Caenorhabditis elegans: one gene and its partner. Changing the gene in region 2 together with the main gene of any one other region gives a genetic interaction. Each region holds a gene or a part of one and is shown on either strand. Other genes may lie near its edges.

What was found. A genetic interaction does not mean that the proteins touch.
Region 1: changes in wip-1 (region 2) and clk-2 together harm fitness more than expected from each alone (negative genetic interaction), as found in Caenorhabditis elegans (one large-scale study listed by BioGRID).

What each region holds. Positions count from the first base shown.
Region 1 is NC_003281.10:7,514,688-7,520,050, reverse strand, and holds clk-2 (Telomere length regulation protein clk-2), read left to right. Parts: upstream 1-1,526; coding exon 1,527-1,682; intron 1,683-1,733; coding exon 1,734-1,941; intron 1,942-1,992; coding exon 1,993-2,126; intron 2,127-2,173; coding exon 2,174-2,506; intron 2,507-2,557; coding exon 2,558-2,710; intron 2,711-2,759; coding exon 2,760-2,863; intron 2,864-2,907; coding exon 2,908-4,072; intron 4,073-4,178; coding exon 4,179-4,273; intron 4,274-4,322; coding exon 4,323-4,428; intron 4,429-4,474; coding exon 4,475-4,654; 3' UTR 4,655-4,829; downstream 4,830-5,363. Other genes in the region: akap-17A (RRM domain-containing protein), read left to right, coding at 1-102, 149-274, 453-568, 611-695, 746-1,124, 1,177-1,313; cls-1 (Protein CLASP-1), read right to left, coding at 4,885-4,950, 4,995-5,363. UniProt on the Caenorhabditis elegans protein: DNA damage checkpoint protein required for DNA damage-induced cell cycle arrest and apoptosis, thereby playing a role in genome stability. Regulator of telomere length.
Region 2 is NC_003281.10:5,016,766-5,021,620, forward strand, and holds wip-1 (WH2 domain-containing protein), read left to right. Parts: upstream 1-1,873; 5' UTR 1,874-1,882; coding exon 1,883-1,993; intron 1,994-2,040; coding exon 2,041-2,263; intron 2,264-2,458; coding exon 2,459-2,524; intron 2,525-2,618; coding exon 2,619-2,770; intron 2,771-3,073; coding exon 3,074-3,169; intron 3,170-3,428; coding exon 3,429-3,571; intron 3,572-3,697; coding exon 3,698-3,925; intron 3,926-3,973; coding exon 3,974-4,043; 3' UTR 4,044-4,355; downstream 4,356-4,855. Other genes in the region: larp-1 (La-related protein 1), read right to left, coding at 65-393, 498-885; mdt-11 (Mediator of RNA polymerase II transcription subunit 11), read left to right, coding at 4,461-4,598, 4,648-4,762, 4,811-4,855.

The DNA.
Region 1 (5,363 bases), 2.5 Mb from region 2:
GGATCTGTTAGAGTTGTCGACATTCCAATTTGTGACCCACTCCGATCTCGAATGAATTCAAAAATCTCTGGTATTCAGCAAAAAGGTTTCGGATTAGGGCAGGTATCGCAGTGTTTTATTTGTAAAATCAAACGAATTGAATTTTTAGGATGTATTTTTTGAAGCATATGTGCAATTTATGGAGTATAAAGGTTTCGCCACTGCCATGGATTCCCTGAGAAATCGTAAATGGGCAAAACGAATTGATGGACGGTTCTTTCAGGCTAATGTCAAGGTATAGTAGGGTAGTAGAGTTAGTTTGCAATTTTGAAAAATCTATCACATTATTTCTAAACGTTCAATATCAATTTTAAAAATTGCATATTCTTCGCTGAAACGAATCACCTCGTGCCACTCTACAGGTTAGTTAATTTCCCAGAATTAAGGTTGAGAAATAGCTTAAAATTTCATAGGTGGATTTCGATCGATCACGTCATCTCAGCGAAGTTCAAATTGCAAAGCGAGCGGAAGAACGACGTCAAATTGAAACGGAACGACTGCGGCAAGAAGAAGAGGAGTTGAATATCAAGTTTGTTGATGCTACAATTTTAAAAATAACTCACCTCTTCAGACGTCAAGAAGAACTGAAAGTTAAACAAGAACTCGATGATAAAGATAGAAGACGAGAAGATAGAGAACGGAAACGCCGCGAAAAGGTTCACTTGAAACGTTTCAAAAAATCATAATAAAACATACGAAATTTCAGAGGGAACTCGAACGAATGGCTGAAGAAGAGAAAAAACGCCTTGAAAAGGAACGACTTGAAGCAGAGCAACGATCACGAGCCACTCGCCGTTTGCAAGGTGTTCGTCTTTTGAAGTTTCTGTTTGAAAAAATTGAAGCACGAGAAGAGAGACGAAAGAGAAAAGAAGAAGAAAAGTTGAAAGATGAGCTGAGCAAAATCAAAGAACTTGAAGAACAACCTGTAGAACAAGAAGACGCATTGAGGCAAGCTCTACTTCAGCAGAGGGAAATTCGAATGCGAGAACGCTTGAAAGAGAAGATGAAAGCTTCAGGAGCAGAGAAGGATAAGAAGAGAGATAAAAATAAGACTTCTAGAAGAAGACGAACTAATAGACATGACAGTGAGTTACCTTAAAATTATTGTCTATTTTTTAATTAAACTTTTTTTTTCAGCTTCATCCTCTTCATCCGAAGATTCTGATTCTCCATCTGATTCTCCCCACTCTCGTCGACAAAGAAAACGTCAAAGTGAAGGAGATGATTTCCGGAGACATCATCATCGGGAGAAAAGTAGAAAACGTGGATCCTAAGAAAACGCGGATCCTATTTTTGTTTCCTATTATTTTACCGGTAATTTCACTTTTTTTAAAACATATTTTTTGATTTTTTTTTCAGAATCTCAATAAACGTATTTACCTCTATTTTTTCTCGTGCATTATTAAACCCTAACCTGGTTTAATTTACTACTCCACGTTCAATTACCTTTCCTGAACGCGAGCTTCGCATTAAAAACAAATTTTCAGATGAATTTACGAAGTCGCCTGGTAAATGCCACGGAACGTGCTGTGCTTTTTCAAATTTTCAAAGATGTGCAGAATGATCCGGAAAAGTACGACAATGCAGTTGAGGCGATCTGTGAATCAATCGACTATTTTGGCAAATTTTTGACCGATAGCGAGGTATTGTCCTGAATTCAATATTTGTGTAATGTTTTATATTTCTAATTGTAGTATCTTACACAAATCAAGCCGATTCTTGATACACAGTGCCCAACAAAGTCGATAATTTGCTTCTCGAAATGTTTGACAAAAGTGAGCACAGATATAAATACTACCACATTTCGAGATGTGATCACCATGCTCGACTGGTTGAAGTATGTCGTTGAAAAATCGCTGACAAGTGCTATTTGTAGCAGTCTGAAAGTTAAAGAAACTGATGGTATGTGATCAAAAATAATTATTCTTCAACTGAGGATTTTTGTTTTTTCAGTCAGTGCAGTTCAGTTGTATCGAGAATTCGCATCAGCATGTTCAAATATTCCGGAGAAAGTTTCGAATTGTTGTGCAAAGGCATTGTCTGGCGAGCATGTCAAATATATCAACACGGTTAAGTGGATATTCAAAGTGGGTTTATAAGTGAAATATCGAGATAGATAACTTCAATTTTCCAGATGAATCTGGTGCAAGGAATTCAAAAGGCTATGCTTCTTGCTCACGACGACATTGTAACTGCTGCCCCGTTCACTTCATTCTACGGATCCGGTGGTCCTTATATGAAGACTGTCGCAGAAATTATTTCATCTGGAAGAAACATAGATATCACCAACAAGGATGGGCTTCTAGTTCAAATGATTGAATGGATTGGTTCACTAAACAATTTTGATTCTCAATGGCGTCGGATGATGTTTCTCATCTTCCAAGAGCCCACATATCAGGGAATTCAAGTTCATGAATCACTACTGACAACATTGTTCCTAATTTCGAAAAGTGACCAAATCTTGAAAGTTAGTGGTTAAAATATAGTTGATTATATGAAAACCAGTAGTTTCTTTCAGCGATGTATCGAAGCCACTGATCTGACTGGAACACTGAAGCGTGTAGTGATGGTTAAGCTCCCGTTTCAGCGAGTTCTCAAACGAAAGACCATCGAGATTCTTATCAATTTTGTTTATCGAACTAAGGAACAATTTGCCATCCAGCTATTAGAGGTAGGGTTTTGAATCTATATTTTCCGTATTTAGCGAAGTTTTTTTCCAGACTTCTGTGAAAATCTGGAGTGATCTCAATTACGCAAAAAGTGCTCCAGAATCACAAGAACGACACATAGTCAGAATGATATTATACTTGGTTCATCTTTTCAGGTAACAAATATATTAAGAACTACAGTAATAACCTGTCCTTTTAGAACATGTTCTTCAATCGATTGGGAGTCACTCTTCCTGAACTCTATGGATGGAGTTCATTGTCGAATGAGCATGTTGCCTATGTACGTCCAAAGTGGTATTTTTGTTAATCAAGCACTGTGCAAGCAAGCGACAAAGCATCGATCGAAAACGCACGGATCAGATGAGCAACCTCCAGAGACTCTAGAAGAAAACAAATTCGTTTCAAGTGAAGTGGGAAAAATATGGTTTGAAGAGATGACGTCAATTTTGGAACATGGATTTAATTCTTCTACAGTGAAAGATTCTGAGCGAGTTCGAGAAACCGCCAACGAAATAACCAAAGACGATTCGGGTGAAGAATTTGAAGAAACCAATGCACAGCGTCTTCAAAACAACAAAGATTCGGCAGCAATCACATCGAAAAACAATCTACGTTTAGATTCTGATGATGACGAAGACTTTCCTGACTATCAAGTTAATGAATCAGAAAAGATCTTCAAGAATTTAGAAATTGGAGAAGAACCGAAAAATAAAGTGACACCTCCAGCATACATTGCAGATGCTTTCGAAATGCTATTAGAGAAAGAAAAATACGAGGTTTTTGAAGCAGCTTTCTTTAATATTACGAATTTGATCAATCGCCGGCCAATTGGATTTCCACAAATCGCTGAGAAGTTGTTCATCCGAATCCTCCATCTTCAAAACAATTTTGGAACGCCTAAATTCAAGGAAACTGTTGATGAAATTGCAGTTGCATGTATCACTCAGCGTCCAGAAATTGTCCCATCTGTAGTGCGTCTGATCATTGCACCAGGTCAAGGTTTCAGTATCAAACAACGTCTTCTTCATTACATTCACAATGCTGCTGATGGAATGGGTGCATTGGATAAGAAACTTGAAGAGTGTGTAATGGCGCAACAATTGAGAATTGGTGGTCCAACGTTAAGTATTATTCTTCATCGAACTATAAACACTGATTATGACGATGAGGATGAAGATCCCCACAGACTTTTAGTTCCTGAATGGCGACGAATGGTGGATGCTCGCATTGCTGCAAATACCAGAAGAATTGGAACGACGCGAGAGCCACCAAGAGCCGGAGTTGTCAATCGTCTCGCACAAGCTGCCAAATATATGTTTTATCCTTTGTTGGTTTTGCCACGTGGTGAGAACGCAAGTCTTTTGGTGAGTACATATGTTTCACAACTTGTCAATTCCTAGTTTATTACGTGTTTTATCTTAGCAATTTTAGAATTTAAACGTCTGATTACTCTAACTAGAAACATTTCAGGGCAAGGACTCCGATCTACTCGCCTCACTCATCATGGTTGCATCGATGGTTTATGTGAGATGTGGCGTATGTCCTCAAATTCATCGAATGTCAAGGTATACCTTTTAACAAGGTTGTGTACAAATTAGTTTTCCTGAATTTCAGTGAGCTTATATCATATGCAACGCCTCATCGATTCTCTGAAAACGCAAAACTACGGACTGCCTGCATCATTGCCCATCTGAATGTGACGACTTTGTTGCCTGGAGATGTTAGTTTGAAAATCAATTTTATTTGATGTTTAACCAAATATTCAGCTTATGGATGAACTGTTTGATGTACCGGCACTTATTGGATGGTTTGATTGGGCCAATTCTGTACTGGTTAATGCATCTTCATCACAATTGGAAAAGGATATGACTCGCCAGTTTGGTCATAGTGTTACAAAACACCTTCAACGTTATCATCCAGCTGTACTGCAACACCAAGACGTTTAAATAGTTACTATTCACTTGTTTTCCTTCTTTTCAAGTACTGTATCATTTCTTACTATCTTGCCAACACTTTGATCTCTACCTCGTTCACTTCTTGCTTTGCCACCCGTTGATATCACCTGTCTCATTCATTTATCAGCATGTTCATAATATCAAAAATAAAATCTTATCAAATGTATTTTACAAAACTGATTGAGTTGACCCGCTTGTTGAAACATTCCGGCTCTTGTGTTCTAGTTAGACGATGCTCCTGATTCGGATGACTTGGCGCGGCCCACGTACAGGTCAATTAGGTTCAGCTGAAAATCGAATGTCTCTTCAAGAAATTTAGTTAAATCCTTACTTTACTGGCATTTAAAGTTCTCAAGTGTGGCTCCATTCTTTGCATTCCAACTCTCTGAACCAGGGCGACTAATCCGAAAACTGCACATTTTCTTACTGTAGATGACATTGATTCGTAGGCAGTGACAAAACATGGTGCAACGTCATTGACAATTAAGTGTAACTCCTCAATATCAATATCTTGGAACATTCTCGTCAACATTTTCAGAATCAGAACACCACGTTGATCATCATCATCTTGACTCAAAATTCGCCTGGAGATCAGAACGACACGCGTAAGAGGCAGATGAGAAGCCAGGATTCGAAGACAATCTTCTGCTGCAACACCCATCGTGTTGTCATCAGATGTACATGCACATTGAAGAACTTT
Region 2 (4,855 bases):
TGTTTCATTTACAACTATGGCTATGAAAATCCGTGTTAGATTGAAAAAAAAACAATTAACTCACTGAATTTGATGGGGAGACATGTCCGTTAAGCTCGGCTTTCGCTAGAGTTGGCCAATCCTGAGTGGCAGCAACAGTGACTGTTTCAGTAACAGGAGCAGTTGCTGCTGGGGCTGTGGATGTTTTCCATGGCTCTTTCTTTGATTCTCTGGATTTTGACTTCTCTTTGATTGGCGCTGCTTGTTTAGGAGTTGGCTCAACAGCCCGTTTCTTTTCTGGAATTGGCGCTGAAGATTTCTGAACGACTGGAGTTGCAGTAATAATAAATTGGTCTGCGGCGGTTTCGGATTTTTGTTCCTTTTGAGCTGCGGCAGCTGCGGCTTCAGCTTCTTCTGAAACTATGATTTTTTTTTGGAAAACGTGAAAACCCAAGAACACTTTCAAAAAAGGCATAACCAATTCGGTTTATGAATATATAATTTTAAAAAAATCGCACCTTTGTTTTTGAACCAAGCGTTTATAGCCGGTAATGGAGCTGGTTCCAGCACAACAGGAATCTCAACTGGTTTCACCTCTTCTGTTGCTACCTTTTCAGCTGGTTTTTCGGTTTTAGTCTCTCCTCTCGGTTTTCGATCGCCTTTTCTGTTATTACGACGTTTTCCTTTTCCTTCACCTCGTGGTCTTTCCGAACGTCCACCAACATTTTCCTTTTCACGTCTGTTATGTGGTGGATGTGCCTGCTTTTCGGGTTGACTGTTTTCGTTTTGTGTAGAAGAATGAGAGCTATCTTGCGTGTGCTGAACCTGCTGTGATGGAGACGAAGCGTCTTCCGCCTGTCCAGAAACTACTTTTGCGAATGAGAGCATGGGCTGCTTCTCGGCCATCCGATCTTCTTTTCTACTTGCTGTTGATGTTAGCAAGTTTTTCTTACCTGGAAAAAAATATTTTGGACTGAATTGGCATTGGAAAATTTTTAAAAAACGTATTCCGAAGTGCGACAAAAAAAGTTGAATAAATTTACAAGCTAGAAAATGGAAACATGGAAGAACATACTATCCACTTTTTCGATTTTGAAGAACATCTAAATTTTTTAATGTTGTTCAGAAAGATTGTTCCGGTTTTTTCAACTTTCTGAAAATAAGACGGTAAAGAATTTTATCAGAATCGTTTGAAGTTTTGGAAAACAAGAAGACTATGGATAGAGTTAATACTTTCGATAAAGTTTTTAATCCGCCTGAGATTGTACCCTTGACGACAAATGGAGAGAACAGAGAAATGAGAGAAGATATTTAACCTTTAAAAAAGTGTTTGAACTTATTTGTTAGAAACCTTAATCAATGAAATGTAAAAGAGAAATCGCTTAAATTTAAATATTTGTCCAAAAAATCGATACTATTTTATTCTGAAATATTAAAAAAAACAGAAAGAAAGAAAGACATAAAATAGCGAAAAGTTCAATTTCTGCGTAGCGCCCCTATGCTTTACCATTGCACTAGAAGTTTACACACAGTCTGGGGGTACACACGAAATGCCCGGCAGCTCGCGCACCGAGAACGCGTCAATAACTAGCCCTCATGCGTCTTTTTGGTCGCCTTGACGCGATTCTCGTGTCCGCTGGTTTTGTTGTTTTGCCGAGTAAACACACGTTTTGAAGGCCAAGACGGGACAGATTATTTTTTTTTCAATTGTTTTTCTGCATGAAAGAAAGCAATGTTTCTTTACTCTATTTTCCCCGTTTCGTAGAAATTTCAATGTCTCCTCTTCCCTAGTTTAACCTTTTCTCAGTTTTGAAATAATCTTTCGATAAAATCAATGATGACTCATAAAAGTTTGTCTTATTAAAAGCGCTCATACTTCCTTAACTTTTCACTCTTTTAGATAATGCCTCCACCACCTCCACCACCGCCGCCTCCACCTCCGCCGCCACCTCCGGCTGCATCGGCTCCGCCACCATCCAGCAATGCTCGAAATGCTCTTCTTGGCGATATTCATGTGAGTTTAAAGTTTTTTTAATTTGTAAAAATAATTTAAATATTCAGAAAGGTTTAAAACTGAAAAAGACAGTCACGAATGATCGATCAGCGCCATCTGTTGGAAAAGTCGTTGGAAGTAGCGGATCTTCATCGAATGGAAATTCTGGAAACGGAAATGGTCCGGCTGCTAAACCTCCACAAATGTCTGGCGGATTAGGAGGTCTTTTTGCGAATGGAATGCCAATGAAACCAAGCGAGAATAAAATTAGACGAGCAACTACTAGTATAGGTATATCTAAGTTTAAACTTTTTGGCAATTTAACGCAATTCACAACAAGAATTTAAAGTACTAGGAAAATATACATTTCAATGTTTTAAAGTATTTTTTCTCGCACGGAGAACAAACTGGCAAAAAAAATTGTTTTCAGTGATATCCCTTTTTAAAATAACCGTTACCCATTATAACCCTCTATCCCACTTTCAGGACCCCCTCCAACCGCCTCATCAGCTCCACCAGTACCTCCTCCTGCTCCAGTTCCAGCTGTTGAAGGTACACATTCAGTTTTTGTTGTCGTTTTCCCCCAATTTTTGGTTTTTTCACTAATTCCAATTAACCCAAGTGAAAAAACAAATGTTTTTTTCAGGAAAAAAGCCATCGATTGTCTCATCATCTTCATTTTCTCATCATGGTGCCACATCTTCGGCTCCTCCTCCTCCGCCTCCACCACCGCCAGTTTCAGTTCCAAGCTCAAAACCGACTCCACCTCCACCGCCACCAGCTCAGCAGAAACCATCGGTTAGTCATTGAGAAATGATTTTTTAAAAAAGAAAAAAATAACTGTTTGGAAGTGCTAAAGAATTACCAAAATTCCGCAGAATAAGTCATCTTTTTTTCTTAATTTTATTCGTTTGTAAAGTTTTGCATGAGTTTGAAATTCGATGTTTACGCTTTCGAGAGATTGTAAAAAAATAAAATCGAAGGATTTTTAAAAAGAAACTTACAACTTGATATATTAAATTAAGCATTTCTGTGATTTGCTGTAAAATGTGAATTAATATTTTTTGTCCAATTGTATTTATGTTTTAGTGTTTCTGTCAGTTTCAGAGTGATCGTGAACAGTTCCGAACGATGAGACCTCTACGACCAGCAAATGATGTGAAACCGACAATGTATCGACGAAGTGGAAGTTCAGAGGTTTTTTTTGTTATTTTGTCGTTTTGCAGTGTTTAGTGGTTTTTAAAGTTTCCTTATGTTTTATTCTCCGGAATTATATTGTGCGCCGAGTCTTATAGACTCTGCGTCTCACCCTCTGACAATATGATAAGCATGAGAAGTTATGTAAAGGTAGGAAGAATCGTTTCGCAATAACTAGAAATTTATAATACCACTTTATGATCTAGTTATTTTGTCCAGAAAGGTAACACCAGATGAAATAATTTTTATTTAATTTCAGGATATACCGCAAGCGACGTCGGCAACCAGACTGGCACGTCCATTAGCTCCTCCGCCAGCTCGCCCAGCTGCACCACCACCGCCAGTACCAACGCCGTCCATAGCACAAATGTCCAGCAGATTCCAGTCGCCAGCGATATCACGGTTAGAAAAATTAACGATTTTTTGAATAACAAATAATTTTAAGTTAATAGTTTCGAGTAATTTCATGTGTATGTTATCAAATTGTTTTTTTTTAAATTAAAACCGGCACAAATCGAACATTTTCAGGACTCTTGATGATGCTCCCCCACCACCTCCACGAATCGCTTCAAAAACATCAGTTGCTCCAACATCATCTCGGGCTCCACTTCCCCCGTCTTCTTCATTTGCACCTTCAATTTCAGCATCTCCAGCACCTGCCCCACCTCCACCTCCACCGCAGGCTGCTTCACCGTATCCTGGAATGAAATCAACTGCGACTGTCTCAGCGAACGTTCCATTTCATCCACTTAACAGGTATTTTTTAAATTCATTTTTTTTTCTTCGCAATCTTTTAAATTATAGGTTCCACTTTCTACCGCTTTCTCAACTGCCACCACCACCTAAAGTTTCGTCTGGAAGTATTCGTGCCTGATTTGGTGCTGCCAAAATGCCTTAAACTATTTTTCTCATTCTCACAATGCTCATGACGTTTCTTTCCATCAAAATGTTTGTAAAACTATTGAAAATAGTCCGTCAATCCCCCAAACCCGTTAAATATAAAATTCCCACTGTGATTTGATGCCCCCATTTTCACTTTCCCCTCTTTCATTTATATCCAACGCATTTCTAAATGTGTACCACTCCCGATTCTATTATTTTCTCTTCGAATAACATAACCTGTTTCTAGTCCCATTTTTTCCTGGGTTTCTTCATGGTTTCTCAATAAATCTGTGAAAATTGTCATTCAACTCTTGTTTCTAACGAAATTTATTTGTTTTTATCATTTTCCAAATATCTTCACAAAACATATATGTTTATAAAATATATTTAAAACTCAAAAATTGCAGTTATGGAGCCAAACCCATCCGATCCTGTTCTAACAGATCGGATTCAAGCAATCGTGACGACTGAAAAAAGTATTGATGAGATGATGAAGTGTGCTCGAGAAATTATTCAAGATTTGGGAAAAGAGAAACAAATCGGAAAAGTTTGTTAAAATTTTGAAGTTAAAAAATATAGAAACATATTTCTTTCAGAATAAAATGGAAGATAATGCGAACAATTTCAAAAAACTGATAACTCAAGTGGAAAATGAATTGAGCGCTCAAATGCAATACTTATCGCATGTTTGTGTTGGATCATCACATCAAGGTATTACTCATTGGAAATTATTAATTTATTTCTACACGTACTTTTCAGGATCAACATTCGGTGTACTTCAAAACTCACTTCTCGCTCAATCTG